Linked DNA regions of Stegostoma tigrinum. Each later gene encodes a partner of the first gene's protein in a complex. Links are inferred from orthologs where the notes say so. Each region holds a gene or a part of one and is shown in the gene's direction. Other genes may lie near its edges.

Region 1 (7,224 bases):
GGGGGAGCGGAAATGGTTTGCGACTGGGAGGTGCAGTTGTTTATTGCGAACCAAGCGGAGGTGTTCTGCAAAGTGGTCCCCAAGCCTCCGCTTGGTTTCCCCAATGTAGAGGAGGCCACACCGGGTACAGTGGATACAGTATACCACATTGGTAGATGTGCAGGTGAGCCTCTGCTTAATATGGAAAGTCATCTTGGGGCCTGGGATAGGGGTGAGGGAGGAGGTGTGGGGGCAAGTGTAGCATTTCCTGCGGTTGCAGGGGAAGGTGCCGGGTGTGGTGGGGTTTGAGGGCAACGTGGAGCGAACAAGGGAGTCACGGAGAGAGTGGTCTCTCCGGAAAGCAGACAAGGGTGGGGATGGATAAATGTCTTGGGTGGTGGGGTCGGATTGTAGATGGCGGAAGTGTCGGAGGATGATGCGTTGTATCCGGAGGTTGGTGGGGTGGTGTGTGAAAACGAGGGGGATCCTCTTTGGGCGGTTGTGGCGGGGGCGGGGTGTGAGGGATGTGTTGCGGGAGACGCGGTCAAGGGCGTTCTCGACCACTGCGGTCCTTGAAGAACTTGGACATCTGGGATGTGCGGGAGTGAAATGCCTTATCGTGGGAGCAGATGTGGCGAAGGAATTGGAAATAGGGATGGAATTTTTGCAGGAGGGTGGGTGGGAGGAGGTGTATTCTAGGTAGCTGTTTTTGGTCTCCAAGTCCCAGGTTCAAATTGATTGGCTAAATTAAAAATCTTGTTGTCTTGATAAACTGCTGCTTGGCCTGCTAACTGTGTAGCTTTTCAATACAAATGTTTCATGTTGGGAGCTGTCTATGTACTTGCAAACTTTTGAGCTGCTGCTCACAGACATTCCTTTTAAAGTACTAAGCATAGGAAAAGCACATGATCTTTTAAAGGGACCACTCCATGCTTTTCCCTCTAGCATTTTACAAATACCAAATTCTAACTTCATGCCTGCTAATCCTCAAGTACTCCACCCAACTTCGCAACACATGATAAGCAGCAACTGCAAACCTTACCTTGTTGTTTGGTGTTTGTGAGGATTTTTCCTGTTTTGTGTTCAAGCCGCTTACCAGCTTTAGTGGTTTCATACAAAACATAATGGCCTTTCTTTGGCAACCGCAGTGGATCAACTGTATCGCAGTATGTCGCATTGCAAATACAAACCACCGAGCTACCCCCAAAACTCCTGGCATCACATGGTTTACCAGCTGAAAAGAGAAGCAAAAACTGTTAAAACAATATCAGAGATAATGGGAACTGCAGATGCTGGAGAATTCCAAGATAATAAAATGTGAGGCTGGATAACACAGCAGGCCAAGCAGCATCTCAGGAGCACAAAAGCTTATCAGAGATAATGGGAACTGCAGATGCTGGAGAATTCCAAGATAATAAAATGTGAGGCTGGATTTTCAGAGATAATGGGAACTGCAGATTTGTGCTCCTGAGATGCTGCTTGTGTTCATCCAGCCTCACATTTTATTAACTGTTAAAACAATGCTGTGTGGGGAACTGGACGAACACAGCAGGCTAAACAGCATCAGAGGAGCAGGATGGCTGACGTTTCGGGCCAAGACCCTTCCTGCTCCTCTGATGCTGTTTAGCCTGCTGTGTTCGTCGAGCTCTATACCTTGTTATCTCAGATTCTCCAGCATCTGCAGTTCCTGCTATCTCCAGAACAATACTCTGACCCATTTTCATCCCTTCTTACACTTTGAAGGTGCTAACTTTCACTGAGGTAATGTTCCAGGCACTGGTGACACTTTGGTACATGATTCAAATAGTAATTTATCAGATGAGATTTAACAGATTTTACAATTATAATTGACAACGGGTATATTTCAAAACCTCACTTAGAGCCTTGGGTTGAAACTTGTAGAAAACAGGAAAATGTGACAGTGATCCAATAGGGAGTATCCTTGAAAAAAAATGAACTACAAACAGGAGTAGACCAACAAGCCCAATCCACTATTCACGCAGATGCAAGTGACTTGGACAGGCTAGGTGAGTGGACGGATGCATGGGAGATGCACTTTAATGTGGATAAATGTGTGGCTATACACTTTGGTGGCAAGAACAGGAAGGCAGATTACTATCTCAATGGAGTCAAGTTAGGTAAAGGGGAAACACGAGATCTAGGTGTTCTTGTACATCAGTCAATGAAAGCAAGCAAGCAGGTACAGCAGGCAGTGAAGAAAGCTAATAGCATGCTGGCCTTCATAACAAGAGGAATTGAGTACAGGGGCAAAGAGGTCCTTCGGCAGCTGTACAGGGCCCTGGTGAGACCACACCTGGAGCATTGTGTGCAGTTTCGGTCTCCAAATTTGAGGAAGGACAGTCTTGCTATTTGAGGGAGTGCAGCGTAGGTTCACGAGGCCAATTCCCGGAATGGTGGGACTATCATACGTTGAAAGATTGGAGTGACTGGCCTCGTATACTCTTGAGTTTAGAAGGATGAGAGGGGATCTGTTTGAGGTGTATAAGATTATTAAGGGATTGGACACTCTGGAGGCAGGAAGCATGTTTCCGCTGATGGGTGAGTCCAGAACCAGAGGACACAGTTTAAAAATAAGGGGTAGGCCATTTAGAACAGAGTTGAGGAAAAACTTCTTCACCCAGAGAGTGGTGGATATATGGAATGCTCTGCCCCAGAAGGCAGTGGAGGCCAACTCTCTGGATACTTTCAAGAAAGAGATGGATAGAGCTCTTAAAGATAGTGGAATCAAGGATTATGGGGATAAGGCAGGAACAGGATATTGATTGTGGATGATCATCCACGATCATAGGGCAGAATGGCCTACTCCTGCACCTATTACCTATTGTCTGATCTGATTACTCCACATTCCCACCAATCATGATAAATTTTCACATTTGCTCGACAGGAATCTATTGACATCTGCCTCAAAAATATTCAACACCTTTTGAGGGAGAACTTTAATAACTCTCAATACTCTGAGAAAAAAAAATTGTCTCTTCTCCCATCGTCCTAGATTCTTTGGAATAGGAAACATCCTCTCCACAAACACCCTTTCAAGACTCCTCAGCATCTCCCAATGATGTCTGATCTCCTGGATGAAAAGCTATCCCATATGGTTTATCTGACTGCTAGGAACAGGTTCAGGCGTGTGCAGACTGGGAAATGAGCACAAGATCATGTAACGTGCAGGATCTGCCAGCCCAGAGCAGAAGATATAATGACAATTTCTGAAAATCTGTTCATATAGGTTATGGCCATTTTCAGGTCCTGTACTGCTGAGAAATTCTGCATTCCTATTAGATCAGGTCAGATGCAACAAGTCCACAGGTTTCAATCCTCAGTATTTAATGCAATTTTTGATGCCAAGATGGATTTGGCATTGTGAACTAACATCCCAGTGAAACTAACCCTAACCCAAAGTGAGTTGGACCTACACCAGTCTACAGGAGCAGCTGAGCAGGCTAGTTTAAAAGAAACAACCTGTTTCTTGCAGACTGTTTCCAATCTGGTTGCTGAACAAGACTCAGTGCCTGCACTAATCTGTGAAACATAACTCTCAGCTCCACTTACATTACAATTCCTCACCTGAGACTGGAAGGATTGTCCAGAAAGGCAGAAAACACAAACAGAACCAAACTGTGGACATCCTGGAGGAGGAAACTGCTCCAGTTTCTCCTTGTTAGTTTCTTCAATACCTTGCTGTATCCTAATTGAACAAAAAGATACAGGGAAAAATGTTAAATATATAATCCAAATCCAGGTCTTTGATTATGTTTAATACAGAGATAGCTGGACTCTTGTTAGTAATGGGAACAAGGGTTATGATGAAAGGGCAGGAGAATAGGGTTGAGTTACATATCAGCCATGATTGAATGGTGGAGCAGACTCGACGGATGTCTTAACGGTGTAAAACTACTGTTATGGTTTTACAGTGTACAGCCAGGCATAAGGAACTACCAGGAGTAAGACTGGGCAATGTTTAGATTGACTATCCTTCATTCCTGAGTGGACTGGTAGCATTTGTTGTAAATATCACCAGGTTATTGCCCTAAAGCGTGATCTAAAAGCTTTCAGAGTGCAGTGCCTGAGCCAGTGGTGTTCTGTCAGAAGTGGCAGACTGAGGCGGCGCAGCGTAGTCAGAGGATCAGTACTGAGCAATGGGCGCCCTCAGCGCTGACCCCTCCCCTCCCCTCCCCTCCCCGACAGCGCCCGCTCCCTCGGCGCTGACCCCCCGCCGACAGCGCCCGCTCCCTCGGCGCTGTGTCTAACATTAGAACCAGTAGGAACTGCCGATGCTGGAGAATCCGAGGTAACAAGGTGTAGAGCTGGATGAACACAACAGGCCAAGCAGCATCAGAGGAGCAGGAAGGCTGACGTTTCGGGCCGAGACATCAGCTTGCCTGCTGTGTTCATCCAGCTTCCCACCGCCTCTAACATAATCGGAGCGAGACGAACCCTTCATCAGCGAGAGCCAGCCCGCCATCCCACGTGACCAAACACGGCATCACGTCCCCCACGTGACCGAGTCTGTTCGCCGCCGCTGCCTCCCACGTGATCCCCCCTCTTGCCCAGGACTGGCACTGATTTCTGTCTTGGCCGCATGGATTCTGCTGTTCAGCTCCGCCAGCGGCAGTATGGCTCGGCTCTGCCAGTACCAGGTAAGGGGCTAAGGCCGCCTGCTGTAACTCATCTCTCCTGTGGGTCTTTCGTCCCTGGCTGACGATGCTCAGGGTGCTTCGGCCTGTAGCGGTGGACTCCGCCTGGTGAAAGCCGCCCTCAATTCCAGGCCCGTATCGAGGGTTCGGGGGATGGGGGTGGACTTGCTGGCTGGGCCTGTGTTTATTGGCCTCTCTAACTGCTCCTTGCGGAAGTGCGCTAGATGTTGTCTGTTGTAATATCGGCACTCTGACAGGAAGCACCGAGGAGCTGATCGTGTTAAATAGTGCAAGGCTGCAGGAAGATAAAACACAGGGCTGAGTGCAGGGAATCCTTGTGAATGAATCTCAAAAAAATTTAACTTAGAACATTGGAGGATGGCAATTTAAGTCTAGCGAGACCCCTCCACCGTTCAATACAGTCATGGTTGAATTTCTCCTTTGCTTCATAACGCATTATCCTATTACTTATTCTGAGTAATACAGTTCTGAGGAAGGGTCCCCGGAACCGAAACATTAACAGCTTATTTTTTCTCTCCACGGATTGTGCCAGACCTGCTGAGCTTTTCCGGCAACTTCTGTTTTTGTTCCTGATTCGCAGCATCTGCAGTTCTTTCGGTTTCCAGTTAAAAATCTTTCTGCCTTCTCCTTAAAGTACTCAGTGACCTGGCATCCGATGCACTCCCCGTGACCGAATTCCATAGATCCGCCACCTCAAAAACAAATGAATAACCGTTGTAGGCGCAGCATAGATCTATTTGTGTGCTAAACACCATGTTAATACAGGTCTTAAAAACTGAAGAACTGTGGATGTTGTAAATCAGAAACAAAACCAGAAATTACAGGAAAACCTCAGCAGGTCTGGCAGCATCTGTAGAGTGAAATCAGAGTTAACGCTTCCGGCTCAGTGACTCTTTTTCAAAACATTTTTCAAAACTTATCTAAGCAATTGAGGCCATCCAGAGAAGTTCACTAGACTGATGTGAGGTCTGAAGCACTTTGTTATGAGAAGAAGTTGAGTAGACTAGCCCCAATGTGACCTTATTAGGATAGATGTGGAAAGGTTGTCTCCTCTTGACCAAATGTGTGATCCCTTATTCTGAGATCATACCATTTAAGAGAGAAATGAAGGGGAATTTCTTGAGAATTGTGAATCTGTGGAATTCCTCCCCACAAAGGCTATTGAGGCTGGATCATTAAGCATATTTGAGATTGAGGTTGACAGATTTTTAATTGGTAAGGGAATAGAGAGTTTGTGGGTGAAGAAAGCAGAAAAGTGGAGTTGTGGATTAACAGATCAGCCGTGATTTCATTGAATGGTAGAACAGAACTCTGGACTGAATGACCTACTTGTCTTCTAGTCTTACCTAACTCTCATATCACCTTATGAGTTAAGGGCGAACAGATTTCTTGAATTGCTGTAGGTAGGCTTTCAATGTGGTTAAGGATTTTGACCCAGTATCACTGAAGGAATGGGAATATATTTCCATATCAGCATGGTGGGTGAACTTGCTCGTGGTGCTCCCATGTGTCTGCTGCCCTTGTCATTCCACATGGAAGCAGTTGTGGGTTTGAAACCAGTTATGTTATACGAGGATCATATCTGTTATTTGTAATATTTGTAAATGATCTGGGTGGACATGTAGGTGGTCTGATTGCTAAGCTTGTAGACAACATGAAAATTAGTTGAGTTGTGAAAAGTAAGGAACGTTGTCAAACGATACAGCATTTCTGAAGAAGGTTCTCAGCCCAAAAGTCAGCATTCCTGCTCCTCTGCTGCTTGGCCTGCTGTGTTCATCCAGCTCTATACCTTGTTATCACAGCACAATATAGGTCAGTTGAAAAGTTGAGTGGAGTGATGGCAGATGGATTTGAACCTGGTCAAATGAATTGATACATTCTGAGAGGTCAAATGCAAGACGACAGTATACAGTAAATGGCAAGATCCTTGGGAGCATTGATATACAGAGGGATCTTGGGGTGCAAATCCATAACTCCCTGAAAGGGGCAACACAAGGGCCTCAGTAAGATAACAAGGTGTAGAGCTGGATGAACACAGCAGGCCGAGCAGGAAGGCTGATGTTTTGGGCCCGAAACGTCAGCCTTCCTGCTCCTCTGATTCTGCTTGGCCTGCTGTGTTCATCCAGCTCTACACCTTGTTATCACAGATTCTTCAGCATCTGCAGTTCCTATTATCTCTGCCTCAGTAAGAGTATGGCATGCTCCAGAAGATTATGGGCCAAATGCAGGCAAATGGGGCTACTTTAGTTTAGGATACCTGGTCAGCGTGGATGAGATGGACCGAAGAGTCTGTTTCTGTTCTGTATGACTATGCTTTCTAAGGATCTTTGGTGATTTACTTTAGTGCATCAATGCACTACTGAGTATTGGGGGGTGGAGGCAATGATTGTTTCTGGCTGTGGTGCCAATTAAGCAGGCTGCTTTGCCCTGGATGATGTCAGTTTCTTGAGTGTTACCTTTATCCAGGCAAATGACAAGTGTTCCACCACACTCCTGACTTGTGCCTTATAAATGGTGGACTGGTTTTAGGAAGATGGGAAGTGAGTTCCTCACGTAATGTTCAGTGATG
Region 2 (7,131 bases), on another chromosome or scaffold:
CACTTCATGAAACCATGCTGACACTCCTTGAAAGTGTTATTCACTCCTAAATACTTCACTATCACATCCTTTATAATGGGCTGTAATACTTTCTCAATTACAGATGTTAAGTTAACTGGCTTCTAGTTACACTTTTTTTTTGTCTCCTTTCCCTTCTAAAAAAAAGTGATACAATGGCAGTTTTTGATTCCTCTGCAACTTTTCCAGAATTTTAATGCTTTTTCATAGATTACTACCAGTGCATCAACTATCTCTGCACCTACTTCCTTTACCATTCTAGGAGGTAACCCATCAGATTCAGGGGACATATCAGCCTTTAGCCCCATTAATGTCCATAGACCTTTTCTTGAGTAATGATAGTTAATGTATTTATATCTTCTCCTCCCTCTGACCTTGATTATTTAGTACTTTTGTAATACAATTAGTCTCTTCTGCTGTGAAGACTTATACAAATTATTTAATCGACTCCTTTGCTACTCTTTGGTTCATGTTATTTCCCGAGCCTCATTCTCTAAGGAACAAATGTTCATCCAGTTATAGAGCCACACAGCATGGAAACAGACCCTTTGGTCTAACCAGTGCACATGTCCCAACATGTCCCCAAACTAATCTAGACCCACCCATCTATGCTTGGCCCATATCCCTCCAAACCTTTCCTACTCATGAACTCATCCAAAAGTATGTTAAACATTGTAACTGTACTTGTATCCACCACTGGCAGTTCATTCCACACACAAACCACTATCTGTGTAAAAAAGTTACACCTCATGTCCATTTTTAAATCCTTCTCCTCTCATCTTAAAAATATGTCCCTTAGTTTTGAACTCCCCCACCCGTGGAAAAGACCCTTGTCATTCACCTTATCAATGTGCCTCATGATTTGTAAACCTCAATAAGGTCACCATTTTGGCTTTTCACTTCCTTCTTATACATTTAAAGAAGCTCTTATGATCTGTTTTGACATTACATGCTAGTTTACCTCCAAAGCTTATTTTGTCTCTCATTTGTTCTTGATCATCTTTGTTGGTAATTAAAACCTAACCAATCCTCTAATTTCCCACTAATCCTTACCACATTGTAGCTTTTAAATCTGAAATTACCCTTTATTGGTTAACTACTTATTATTAGGTACAATACAGTATAATTGGCTCCACCATGAGCAATTGATGCGGTCTTTACATATTAAGTAGTTAAGTTCTTTTGTTAGCTTTGTGTCAAGCTCACCCCTTGTTCCTACTGCTGAAATCCTCATTCATATTTTGGTTAGCTGTTGCCCGTGTGTTAAATCAAACAAAATCCTTTTGCTTGCTGACCTACATTAGCTCCTTGTCAAAGAACATTGTTTGTAAAATTATAATCCTTGCCTTCAATTCCTCCATGGCCTCTGTAATCTCCTCCAGCCATACAATCTTTCAAGTTATCTGCACTCACCTAAATGCAGCTTCTTGACCATCCCCAATTCTAATTGCTTCACGGTTGTGGCTACACTTCAGACACCTCAGGCCTGTTGTATGAAATTTTCACTCTCTGCCTTGAAAACTCCCTTAAAACCTATCTCTTTGATCAAGGTTTTGTTTGTTTCATTTAATGTAGTTATGTATCATACTCTGAATTATACTTATCCATTGAACAGCCTTGGCACATTTTATCATTAGAGGTGCTAGATAAATGTAAGTAGTCAATGTCAAAAGTAATATTAACATTGTATACTTCACAGAGGATAATCAAACGTCCCAAATTTTATGCTTCTTCCCTATATTCCAGGCAATTGTCCTGTGTCTGAGGTTGATTGCTATCAATTTGGATCCAATTCAGTGGTTGAGACATAAAACCCAGAATAACTTTATTTTTGTTTAATCAGCCTGCTTAAACATGTAATGGCATAGTTCCTTAGGTAGGATGTGAACTCAGAGTTTCTGACCGCAAGGTAACCACTGTGGCACATTATCACTGCACTACAAGTGGCACGTGGTCTTCTTGTTGCTCCCCTTTTAAGTAAAAACTGACAGTGCTGGGGAAACTCATAAGGTCTGCCTGGATCTGCAGACAGACAATGAGAGTTCGAGTATCAATTCTGATGTGATTCTTCAGCAGAACTCTTCAGGCCCTCTTTTAAACATTTGCAGAACCCAGCCCCCACCCACTCCCACAGGATGTCCACGTTCTTCAAGGACCGCAACTTTCCCCCCCACAGTGGTCGAGAACACCCTTGACCACGTCTCCTGTATTTCCCGCAACACATCCCTCACACCCCACCCCCACAACAACCGCCCCAAGAGGATTCCCCTCGTTCTCACATACCACCCCACCAAACTCCGGATACAACGCATCGTCCTCCGACACTTCCACCATCTACAATCTGACCCCACCACCCAAGACATTTTTCCATCCCCACCCTTGTCTGCCTTCCGGAGAGACCACTCTCTCCGTGACTCCCTTGTCCGCTCCACACTCCCCTCCAACCCCACCACACCCGGCATCTTCCCCTGCAACCGCAGGAAGTGCTACACTTGCCCCCACACCTCACCCACATCCCAGGTCCCAAGATGACCTTCCACATTAAGCAGATGTCCACCTGCACATCTGCCAATGTGGTTTACTGTATCCATGGTACCCGGTGTGGCTTCCTCTACATTGGAGAAACCAAGCAGAGGCTTGGGGACCGCTTTGCAGAACACCTCCGCTCGGTTCACAATAAACAACCGCACCTCCCAGTCGCCAACCATTTTAACTCCCCCTCCCATTCCTCAGACGACATGTCCATAATGGGCCTCCTGCAGTGCCACAATGATGCCACCCGAAGGTTGCAAGAACAGCAACTCATATTCTGCTTGGGAACCCTGCAGCCCAATGGTATCAATGTGGACTTCACAAGCTTCAAAATCTCCCCTTCCCCCACTGCATCCCAAAACCAGGCCAGTTCTTCCCCTCCCCCCACCGCATCACAAAACCAGCCCAGCTCGTCCCCTCCACCCACTGCATCCCAAAACCAGTCCAGCCTGTCTCCGCTTCCCTAACCTGCTCTTCCTCTCACCCATCCCTTCCTCCCACCTCAAGCCGCACCTCCATTTCCTACCTACTAACCTTATCCCGCCTCCTTGACCTGTCCCCTCTCCACCTATCTTCTTTTCTCTCCATCTTCGGTCCTCCTCCCCCTCTCTCCCTATTTATTTCAGAACCCTCTCCCCATCCCCCTTTTCTGATGAAGGGTCTAGGCCCGAAACGTCAGCTTTTGTGCTCCTAAGATGCTGCTCGGCCTGCTGTGTTCATCCAGCCTCACATTTTGTTGTCTTATGCCTGAATATCACTTGGCTTTACTCTACTTCATAAGGAATCACACATGCAGGTTTTTCTTTTAGTTTCCTTTTATGAAGTGAATAATGTCGTTCTGAAAAAGGGTCAACTGGACCCGAAACCTTTCCTGCCTTATCTCCGTAGATGCTACCCGACCTACTGTGTTTCTCCAGCAATTACAGTAAACTGTGTGCAGAGTCTAACTTCTGAGTTTTACCTGCTATTGAAAAATTGGTATAATTAAAAATGTATGGTAGTTCATTAAAATTAATGCCAGTGGTTACTTTAACAGTTTATTCTTCCAGAGATTTTGCACTTGTTAAAAGGAATCCTAATCCCAGTGAGTGAACCAAAGTCAGTAACTGTATTTTTCCAGTGCGTAAGAGTCACACAAAACAAAGAAAAACTACACGCAATTCCTGACACTGTCCAGAAATACAATTTTATCCCTTGTACGCTGCTGATTAGTTTACCTCAATCGCCCTCAACAGGCAGGGAGGACTCTTCCCTCACTGCGAAAACAGCGCCCCCGGCAGTTGGGGAGGATTCCATTCCATCCATTGGTGCAGAAACAGCGCCCCCGGCAGTTGGGGAGGATTCCATTCCATCCATTGGTGCAGAAACAGCGCCCCCGGCAGTTGGGGAGGATTCCATTACATCCATTGGTGCAGAAACAGCGCCCCCGGCAGTTGGGGAGGATTCCATTCCATCCATTGGTGCAGAAACAGCGCCCCCGGCAGGTGGGGAGGGTCCCATTTCGTCCATTGGTGCAGAAACAGCGCCCCCGGCAGGTGAGGAGGTATAGTTTTCCCATTTCTTCCGCCTGGACCCCCGCCTCTCCTGTGGAAAGAGTTTCTCGGTCACTGTCCGATTGCTGGGGCCGGAAAGTTGTAATGTCCGCTGATTCGGCGAAGAAGCGAAAAACCAAAGTGATTCGGAGTGATGGCGGAACGGTGGAGAAGGAGAGCAGAAAGGCTCGGGGTGATGGAGACCAGGTGGGGAGAGGCTGAATCCGATGAGGCTAGGGTGCCGAGGCCTAGCCCGGCCCGACCTGTCCAGGCCAACACATTGAGCTGTTTGTTCACATACAATAAGCAGAAGGGGAGCCTAATCCCTCCTGACAGATACCTTGTTCCCCTGTGTAGGAATGACTGAACGTGAAGGGATATGAGAGCGCGAACATTTTATTTTATTGGACTTTTACCCGAAATTTCTGTTGAAACTGGTTGTGTTTGGGCTAAAGAGTATCTCAGTATCCTGTTGTCCTTTGAAAGTTGAAGTTAAAAGATAAATCTCCGCATCTGGAATTTTTTTTAATTTTAGGAGATATAATTTCAGTCTCGAGTGCTGGTATAATCAGCTGAACCGGACTAAAGTTGATTCAGTGTTTGAGCAGAAACCACAAATTTAAGAATCCTTCCTGATGTTATGTCCAACCCTTTCACATTTTATAATTCCTATTTGGCAATGTCACTTATTTAGCCACCTCAATGTACATCAGTAGTCATTATCAGTTACTGTTAATTGTTTGTAATTTCTATAAAACTGTAAAATACATGTATGTGTTCTTTATTAGGAGAGTAAAGTTTATAGTGAAGAGGCGGAAGTGGAGACACGAGACCCTGCTAAAGACTATGATATGTACAAGAAAACCTGTGAGGATCTCCAAAGGTTGATGGCTGAGATTCATGAATTAAAGAGTAAAGGAGGAAAAGATGCTGTAAGTGGCACTGAATTTATTTAAGTGAAAAAAAATCAAACACTGTGCTGAAAATCTCAGCTGAAAGTAGAAATTACTGGAAATTCTAAATCTGGAGTAGCTATGGTTAGAAGAAGAGAGGTAATGTTTCAGGCTGATAATCTTTCACCAGAGTTGATAGATCATTGAGCTGAAATGTCAACTCTTCCCTCAATTCAAGGATGCTGCCAGACTGCTGAGTATGTACAGCATGTTCTGTTTTTATTTACATTTTAATCTTTTTCCCCAGGTAAGTAGCAAGAGCAGTGAATCGCACATTCACGTCTATATTGTTTTTAAAACTTACTATAATTCAATTTGGTAGTCTAATATAGTTCCTAACTGGCCTTAGATGTTAAAACTAGACGGGCTGTAAAGGAATGAGAAGGCAGGTCAGTAAAGGCGGCACGGTGGCTCAGTGGTTAGCACTGCAGCCTCACAGCGCCGGGATCCGTGTTCGATTCCAGCTTCGGGTAACTGTCTGTGCAGAGTTTGCACATTCTCCCCGTGTCTGCATGGGTTTCCTCCGGGTGCTCCGGTTTCCTCCCACAATCCAAAGACATGCAAGCTAGGTGGATCGGCCATGTTAAATTTCCCGTAGTGTTAAGGGGTGTGTGGGTTATAGGGGGATGGGTCTGGGTGGGATGCTCCAAGGGGCGGTGTGGACTTGTTGGGCCAAAGGGCCTGTTTCCACACTGTAGGGAATCTAATCTAATCTAAAGGGTTGGGTATTTAACACCTGATGCTTGCTGAACTGCTGCTGGAAGAAATTTTAAGAACTATGGACATAATACAGAATAGTATTGTATGTATTTTTTGGATGTCATAATTTTGCTTCTGTGTTTTTATCTGTAAATAAAAATTGAATAATGGTGTAACAGAGTGATGTGGCCTGCTGTCAGAAGAGATAGTAAAATGAAGGAAATGTCTTGGGTATTTTCTCATGGTAAGCTGACTCCTTGAACCACTGCAGTTCCTCTGATACAGATATAGCTGCAGAGCTGTTGGAGAAGCAGTTCCAGGATGTTGACCCAGCAAAAGAATGATAAGGTATTGCAGCAGGTGTATGCCATATGGCCTATTGAGTCTGATCTGCATCGACTATATGAACTAGGCACAAGAATAGGCTACAGATCCTGCTCTACCATTCGATAAGGTTATGGCTGATCTAATTTTAACCTCAACTTTGCATTCTTGCATACCCTGGATAATCCTTCTTTCCCTTGGTAATCAATCTGCCATTCGATGAGATCATGGCAGAGCTGCCACTCCTGAACTGCACTTCCCCCATAACCCTTGATTCCCTTACTGATTAAAATTTTGTCTATCTCTGCTTTGCACATTCTTAACAACCTAGCCTCTGTGGTAAAGAATACCACAGATTAAACATTTTCTGAGAGAAAAGATTTCTTCACATCTCTGTCCTAAATGAGCAGCCCCTTGCTCTGACATTATGAGCAATGATATTTTTCTGGAGCAGCGATGTGTTTCCAAAACATCATGGTGAGTGATTTGGAAGATAATCTGTAAGTGGTGATGTTTCCATGTATCTGCTGTCCCGGTTTCTAAATGTTCAAGGTTGTAGGTTTGGAGACAAATGCTGTTAAAGGAGTGTTGATTTGCTGCAGTGCACCTTGTAAATAGTATACATTGCTTTCACTGCACATCGTTGGTGGAGGGAGTGATTGTCTAAGGTATTAACAGTGGTGTCAGTCAAGTAGGCTGCTTTGTCCTGGATGATGTTAAGCTTCTTGAGTGTTGTTGGAGCAGCACCATTTCAGGCAAATGGTGTCCTTTGAGAGTTTTCATTTATACCTTGTGCACGATGACAGACATTGGGGAGACAGATGGGTTACTTGTTGCAGAATTCCCTGTTCTCATAGCCACAATATAAACATTGATGGCAGGTCCAGTTCAGCATGTGGGCCTTGGTAACCCTCTGGATACTCGTAACCTACAAACCTTTGACTCAGCGATGACAATGTGGCTAACTGTGCCATGTTCACACTTTGAGGAGCTGTTAGCTGAAGATGTAAATGAAAATTAATCAAATATAATTGAAAAATCAGTAATAGGAAGAACTTCTTTATATAATTTGA
Region 3 (7,636 bases), on another chromosome or scaffold:
AGAAATGGTGATATATTCCCATTCAGGATTGTGAGAGGCGCGTCGGAGAACTTGGAGGTGGTGGTGTTCCCATATGTCTGATGTCTTTGTTCTTCTAGATGGAAGTGGTCATAGGTTTGGGGATGTCTGAGGATCTTTGGTGAATTTCTGCAGCACATCTTGTAGATAGTACACACTGCTGCGACTGAGTGTCGGTGGTGGAGGGAATGGATGTTTGTGAATGTAGTGCCAATCAAGTGGGCTGCTTTATCCTGGATGGTGTTGAGCTTCTTGAGTGTTGTTTGGGCTGCACCCATCTAGGCAAGCGGGGAGTATTCCATCACACTCCTGACTTGTGCCTTGTAGATGGTGGACAGACTTTGAGGAGACAGGAGGTGAGTTACTTGCTGCAGTATTCCTAGCTTCAGGCCTGCTCTTATAGCCAATGAAACACAACAAAAAGCACTCGCATTTATAAAGTGCTTTTTGTATACACAGGTCATTCCAAAGTACTTCACGGCCAATTAAATATTCTTGACGTGTAGTCATTGCTGTAACGTTGTAAACACAACAGCTAAATTGCACAGTAAAGGCTCACAAATATCCAGCAGATGTTGATTTGAGGATAAATATTTAATGAGGACATCAGGGGAACTCTCTAGTTCTTTATATTAGTACCAAGGGATCTTTTATGATCACCTAAGTGGGCAGATAGGACATTGAAAGACAGCAGCTTCAATACTGCAGCGAGCCATGCATTCATGTGAAGCTTAAATTGACAACCTCCTGACACAGGTGAGAGTGTACTGAGTCAAGGCTGACATTGGGCAGCAACCACATTGAGAAGTTCACAATATACTACATCTATTCTGAGGTGAAATTACAATATGTCAGGCATTGTGGCATTAGAAACCAGAATCCTCTCTGATTTTCCTCCTCCCCAGTGCAGGGAAATTGGCTAAGATCAGCTAGGACAGCTGCCACTTACAGTTTTAGCATTTAATACAGTAGCTCTCCAATGGTTTTGTGAGAAAATGCATAAAGGTACCACTTAAATATCTCTAGTAATGATAAGAAAGTTTGCATTAAGGCACTTTACCTAAATGCTTGTAGTATTCGCAACAAAGTAGGTGAATTAACAGCACAAATCATCTTGAATGATTATGATGGGTAGGCATCACAGAGACGTGTTTGCAGGGAGTTCAGGACTGGCGGTTAAACATCCAAGGATTTACAACTTATTGAAAAGACAGGGAGGTGGGCAGAGGGGGCGGGGTTGCCCTGTTAGTTAAGAATGAAATTAAATCTATGGCACTGAATGACATAGAGTCATATGATGTGGAGTCTGTGTGGGTGAAGTTGAGGAACCACAAAGGCAAAAAAACTATAATGGGAGTTATGTACAGGCCTCCTAACAGTGATCAGGACCAGGGGCACAAGATGCACCAGGAAATAGATAGGGCATGTCAGAAAGGCAAGGTCATGGTGATCATGGGGGACTTCTATATGCAGGTGGACTGGGTCAACAATGTTGCTGGTGGATCCAAAGAAAAGGAATTCATGGAATGCTTACAGGATGGCTTTTTGGAACAGCTTGTGATGGAGCTCACAAGGGAGCAGGCTTCCTCAACCAACGCCTCCTCTATTTATTCAGCCACTTCCCCCAGAACTCAAGGATGTAGCCCATCAGGGCTAGGAGATTTATGAATTTTTAGACCTTTTAGCTTTTCTAGCACTTTCTCTTTTGTAATGCCTACCGTACTCAACTCTGCCCCCGACTCTCCTTAATTGTTGGCATACTACTCATGTCTTTCACTGTGAAGACTGATGCAAAGTACTTATTAAGTTCTTCAGCTATTTCCTTATCTCCCATCACAAGCCTTCCAGCATCAGTTTGGAGCGGCCCAATATCTACTTTTGCCTCTCGTTTGTTTCTTATGTATTGAAAGAAGCTTTTACTATCATTTCTAATATTACTAGCTAGCCTACCTTCATATTTGATCCTCTCCTTCCTTATTGCTCTCTTTGTTATCCTCTGTTTGTTTTTGTAGCCTTCCCAATCTTCTGATTTCCCAGTGTTCTTGGCCACTTTATAGGCTGTCTCTTTTTCTTTGATATATTTCCTGACTTCCTTTGTCAGCCATGGCTGTCTAATCTCCCCCCCACCCCCGCCGGATAATCTTTCATTTCTTTGGGATGAACCTCTGTACTGTGTCCCCAATTTCACCCAGAAAGAGTTGAGTATGGTAGGCATTACAAAAGAGAAAGTGCTAGAAAAGCTAAAAGGTCTAAAAATTGATAAATCTCCTGGCCCCGATGGGCTACATCCTCGGGTTCTGAGGGAGGTGGCTGAGGAAATAGCGGAGGTGTTGGTTGTGATCTTTCAAAAGTCACTGGAGTCAGGGAAAGTCCCAGATGATTGGAAAATTGCTGTTGTAACCCCCTTGTTTAAGAAAGGATCAAGGCAAAAGATGGAAAATTACAGACCGATTAGCCTAACCTCGGTTGTTAGTAAAATTCTAGAATCCATCGTGAAGGATGAGATTTCTAAATTCCTGGAAATGCAGAGTCAGATTAGACAAGTCAGCATGGATTTAGTAAGGGGAGGTCATGCCTGACAAACCTGTTAGAATTCTTTGAAGAGGTAACAAGTAGGTTAGACCAGGGAAACCCAGTAGATGTTATCTATCTAGACTTCCAAAAGGCCTTTGATAAGGTGCCTCACGGGAGGCTGCTGAGTAAGGTGAGGGCTCATGATGTTTGAGGTGAGCTACTGGCATGGATTGAGGATTCGCTGTCTGACAGAAGGCAGAGAGTTCAGGTAAATGGCTCTTTTTCAGAATGGCAACCGGTAACAAGTGATGTCCCTCAGGGTTCATTGTTGGGGCCGCAGCTGTTCACTTTATATATTAATGATCTGGATGAAGGGACTGGGGACATTCTGGCGAAGTTTGCGAATGATACGAAGTTAGGTGGACAGGCAGGTAGTACTGAGGAGGTGGGGAGGCTGCAGGAAGATTTAGACAGTTTAGGTGAGTGGTCCAGGAAATGGCTGATGAAATTCAACGTGAGCAAATGCGAGGTGTTGTACTTTGGAAAAAAGAATACGGGCATTGACTATTTTCTAAATGGTGAGAAAATTCATAAAGCCGAAGTACAAAGGGATCTGGGAATGCTAGTCCAGGATTCTCTAAAGGTTAACTTACAGGTTGAGTCTGTGATTAAGAAAGCGAATGTAATATTGTCACTTATCTCAAGAGGGTTGGAATATAAAAGCGGCGATGTGCTTCTGAGACTTTATAAAGCTCTAGTTAGGTCCCATTTAGAATACTTGTTCCAATTTTGGGCCCCACATGTCAGGAAGGACATACTGGCGCTGGAGCATGTCCAGCAGAGATTCACATGGATGATCCCTGGAACGGTAGGTTTAACGGACAATGAATGGCTGAGGATCCTGGGATTGTATTCATTGGAGTTTAGAAGGTTGAGGGGAGATCTAATAGAAACTTACAGGATAATGTATGGTTTAGAAAGGGTGGACGCTAGGAAGTTGTTTCCATTAGGTGGGGAGACTAGGACCCATGGGCACAGCCTTAGAATTAGAGGGGGTCAATTTAGAACGGAAATGAGGAAACATTTCTTCAGCCAGAGAGTGGTGGGCCTGTAGAATTCAATGCCATGGAGCGCAGTGGAGGCCGGGATGTTAAATGTCTTTAAAGCAGAGATTGATAAATTCTTGATCTCATAAGGCAGTAAGGGCTACGGGGAGAGTGCAGGGAAGTGGAGTTGAAATCAGCCATGATTAAATGGCGGAGTGGACTTGATGGGCCGAATGGCCTTACTTCCACTCCTGTGTCTTATGGTCTTATGACCAAATGGTCCCAGTATTAACCCCAGCTTGTAATGAGTTGTTTGACCTCAGATAGCGAAGTACTGGGTTAAAATTGGCCTCACCAGCCCGAAGCAACGGAGGGAGGTATCAGTCAGAGTTGCTCCCTTTGATCACTCTCCAGTGAACTGTGGTAGGGAATAGGTTTGGACAGTACATAAGGACAAGATTAAGCTTCGTTCCGAAGCCCACAGGTTCCAAGTGCTGATACTCATGCATTAAGAATTCAGCTTCAAACTTTTATCCAGTTCAGAAGTGGTAACTCAATTAAAAACATCGCCAAATGTTCTCACAAGACTGGTCCACTTGCAAACGTAAATGTACAACAGGTCTGCACACGTACAATCTTTACAAAAAAAACACGACAGGCTGTTTGGTAAAAGGTTTTCCTTTCTGTGCTTGCCATTTCCACAATTTTCTGTTCATTGACACAAATAAACAAAGATGAATGGATTAGCAATTGCAGAAACAGCTCTCCTTTCTGATATTCATCCTTGAAGATTACTGAATATCTGGTGGTTATTCCGATGAAGATGGCCACCAAACCACTCACTGGCAAGAGTCGCGTATGATAATTTTCCATAGGATTTATTGTCATCGCTCTCACCATAATTGTGCATAATTTTAAAATTTCAATCTAACTAGTATTTGCTGTTAAACGTTGGGCAATATATTTGTAAGTTTTTGCTGTATTAATTTATTTCTTTTTTCTCCTTATTCCGATAGTAACGGCATATTGAACACACCCACCCCTGTCTCTTTTGAGCCAATGGTGAGGTAGCTTGTTGATCAGTGAGTAAGGCGGATGCCTATTGGATAGGTGGTGAGCGGGTAAGAGTCTGGCAAGATGGCGGACAGAACGGCGGTGGATATCAGCAAATTGAAGGTAAAGGGAGTTTAGATAGGGATAATGTGTTCGCCGTTAGAGCGAAGGTTTTGTGATTTAGTGACTATTACGTACTTCACTTTTTCTGTTCCGATTCTGCTCAGAAATTCTCCTCTGGAGACCCGTAGAGTGGGCTATATTTTCCCTCCTCTTGAAGGTGGGGTTGCTTTTTCCTCCCCGTGCTAGTCTAACATTCTTCGAACGTTTTAAGCAGCTTAGTCGTGTGGGACGTGTTTTGAGTGTCACATTGAAAGGAAACGAATAAGTTTCCGGAATGGCCGATTAACTAAGTGCACCGCCCATGGATCACATAGAAATAGGAAACCGTGCCCCCGCACGGTTATTTGGTCTGAACTGGGGCTGTTTGTTCCGTTCTAAAGATATTTCAAATGGGTTATGGCTCCACGAACATCTGAACAAGTGGACGAAACGTTTAAGAAAAGCAGTCTTTTTTTAAAAATGCTGTAACTAAGGAAGCTGTATAAAAGCTAACTTGCACAAACCGTTGCTTGATCCACTGCTAAACCATCTTTCTGGGTGCTTAAAATGTACATTGAAGGCAAAATTCTGTAGATTCGCACTCATAGAAGTTGGGGAAATTTATAACGCAGGACGCAGAAATTGGAGCAAAGAACTTGAGCCATTTTGAAAGTTTTATTTTAAATTGGCACTGGATCCTAGTGTTATGAGTCAGAAAAGGCTACCCTATCGTTGCACAATTGATGGGTTGTCAATTTTAAATTCCCATAAGGAGAACAGTACTGGGATTACTTTGGGATAGGTAACTGATTGTGAGAAGAAAGTGAAGTTACTGGAATGGTTTTGGATTGATTCAGCTAAGAACTAGCATAAATGTGAAAAGGAAAGATGTGAAATTCATGTTGATTTTCAAAGAATGTGGGGCTGATTTGTACAAGGAGTGTAGAAAGTTGAAATGCATGTACAGCAAGCAATTAAGAATGCAAGTGGCATGTCCTTTTATTATTTGAGGATTGGAGTGCAGCAAACAAATCCTTGCTTTAATTGAACATGGTTTTGAAACAAGGTATGTGCAGTTTAATTTCCATTTTTAAGGGAGATTATACTTGTGTGCAGAGGCAGTACAGCAAAGGTTCACTAAATCAGTCATGGGGATGAGGGGATTGTCCTGTATTGAGACTGAATAGTTTGGGCAATGTTTACCAGAGTTGAAAAGAATGAAAGGCGCTGTCATTGAAAGGTACAAGATCCTGAGTAGACTCTGGGTAGACAGATTATTTTCACTGATTGGGGAGCCAAAAACATGGTGGCTTACTTTCTGGATAAGAGAGTAACTACTTGGGGCTAGCTGAGGAGAAATTGCTTCACTTGAAGGATTGTGAAGGTTTGTGGATAGATGGATTTTTGATGCCTTGGAATCAAGGGAATGGGGAGCGACCAGGAAAGGGAGTTGAAGCCAAAGATCAACCGCATTGTAATGAATGAAGCAGGCTGACCCAGCCATGTAGTCCACTCCAATTTCCTGAATCCTTTCTTTACTGAAAACCTCCATGGTTCTGACTATTTGTTTGTTCTCATTGTGCTTTAGTTGACTGAACTGAGACAAGAATGTGCTTCACGGGAGCTGGATACTAAAGGAAACAAGCAAGATCTCATCCAGAGACTGCAGGCTTACCTGGAAGAACATGGTAAAATCATGATGGATATTTAATCTCAAACAATTTATTTTTAATAAATAAAATTACTTAGGAATTTATGAAGAGTTGTGGATTTCTTTCATTACCATACATATGCTGACTTTGGCACATTTAAGATTGTATTTTACAAATTATTACATAGAATTCAGAATAATAAATTAGCTGAGTGCTGGATGAAACAGTTGCCATTACAGGTAATTGTCTTTGTTAGAGAGTCAGAGATTATACAGCAGAGAAACAAGTCCTTTGGTTCAACTTGTCTCAATGACCAGATATCCGAAACTGATCTAGTCCCATATGCTTGCATTTGGCCCATTCCCCGCTTAAACATTTCCTATTCATATACCCACCCAGATGTCTTTTTAAAATATTGTAATTGTTCCAGCCTCCTCCACCTCTTGTGGCAGCCTGTTCCATCCATGCTCCACCCTCTGTTGCCTCTTCAGTCCCTTTTAAATCTTTCCCCTCACCTTAAACCTATGCCCTGTAGTTTTAGACTCCCCCACCCTGGGAAAAAGACCTTGTCTATTTGCCCTATCTATGCCCCACATGATTTTATAAACCTCAGCCAGTGCTCTGGGGGAAAAGCGCCAGCCTGTGTCAGTTGATCAGAGTGCTTGAGTTGCATCCTTATGTTATTTGATTACCACTTTTTTGAGAGTCTTAAATTTTGTGCTTTAGTTTTGCTGTAATTTCAACAATTACTGTAGTTAACTGATTAATTGCTATCTTTTCCCTTCAACTTGAAGTTGACTTTTTTTTGCAGATGTGTATCTAGTTGCGCCTTGAGCAATGTGCACACCCCCTCTGATTCAGGTTTTTGGAAACAAAATAGGTGCACTGTGTGTGTAGATTAAATAAATCTACGTATTCCACGGAAGTGGTTCACTTCTGTCTATCAAACGAGTGAAAGGCAAGTTTAGGACTTTGCGATAATAATTGACATCACAAATTGGCATTCATTTATGATAGTTAATGCAAATATTTTGAAATTAATTGACTTGTAGAAGCAGTTGGAGACTTTCATTGAAAATACCTCCACACTTATTTAGAATGTTCTAAAGTAGGCCAAGATACTTCCCTGTACTGTATTCATCTTGTCCTTGTGTCGTGTAGTGCCAGGCATTCAGATTAGACTGCAATTTCAGTACCTGATCTCTGTTGAAAATTACCACTTATAATTCAGGTTTACAGGCTTTTTAAAAC

Evidence for each region. Proteins that work in one complex are often made in the same cells at the same time.
Region 2: chtopa (region 1) and thoc5 share a complex: the UniProt entries of both Homo sapiens proteins name them as parts of the transcription/export (TREX) complex. The link is inferred for Stegostoma tigrinum from reciprocal best matches to the Homo sapiens genes CHTOP and THOC5.
Region 3: chtopa (region 1) and sarnp share a complex: the UniProt entries of both Homo sapiens proteins name them as parts of the transcription/export (TREX) complex. The link is inferred for Stegostoma tigrinum from reciprocal best matches to the Homo sapiens genes CHTOP and SARNP.

What each region holds. Positions count from the first base shown.
Region 1 is NC_081400.1:101,167-108,390, forward strand, and holds the start of chtopa (chromatin target of PRMT1a), read left to right. Parts: upstream 1-4,215; 5' UTR 4,216-4,579; coding exon 4,580-4,637; intron 4,638-7,224. Other genes in the region: gba1 (lysosomal acid glucosylceramidase), read right to left, coding at 1,022-1,213, 3,565-3,625. UniProt on the Homo sapiens protein: Plays an important role in the ligand-dependent activation of estrogen receptor target genes. May play a role in the silencing of fetal globin genes.
Region 2 is NC_081379.1:20,913,885-20,921,015, forward strand, and holds the start of thoc5 (THO complex subunit 5 homolog), read left to right. Parts: upstream 1-4,111; 5' UTR 4,112-4,187; coding exon 4,188-4,289; intron 4,290-4,870; coding exon 4,871-5,014; intron 5,015-7,131. UniProt on the Homo sapiens protein: Component of the THO subcomplex of the TREX complex which is thought to couple mRNA transcription, processing and nuclear export, and which specifically associates with spliced mRNA and not with unspliced pre-mRNA.
Region 3 is NC_081404.1:18,537,245-18,544,880, forward strand, and holds the start of sarnp (SAP domain-containing ribonucleoprotein), read left to right. Parts: upstream 1-4,616; 5' UTR 4,617-4,715; coding exon 4,716-4,754; intron 4,755-6,321; coding exon 6,322-6,421; intron 6,422-7,636. UniProt on the Homo sapiens protein: Binds both single-stranded and double-stranded DNA with higher affinity for the single-stranded form. Specifically binds to scaffold/matrix attachment region DNA. Also binds single-stranded RNA. Enhances RNA unwinding activity of DDX39A.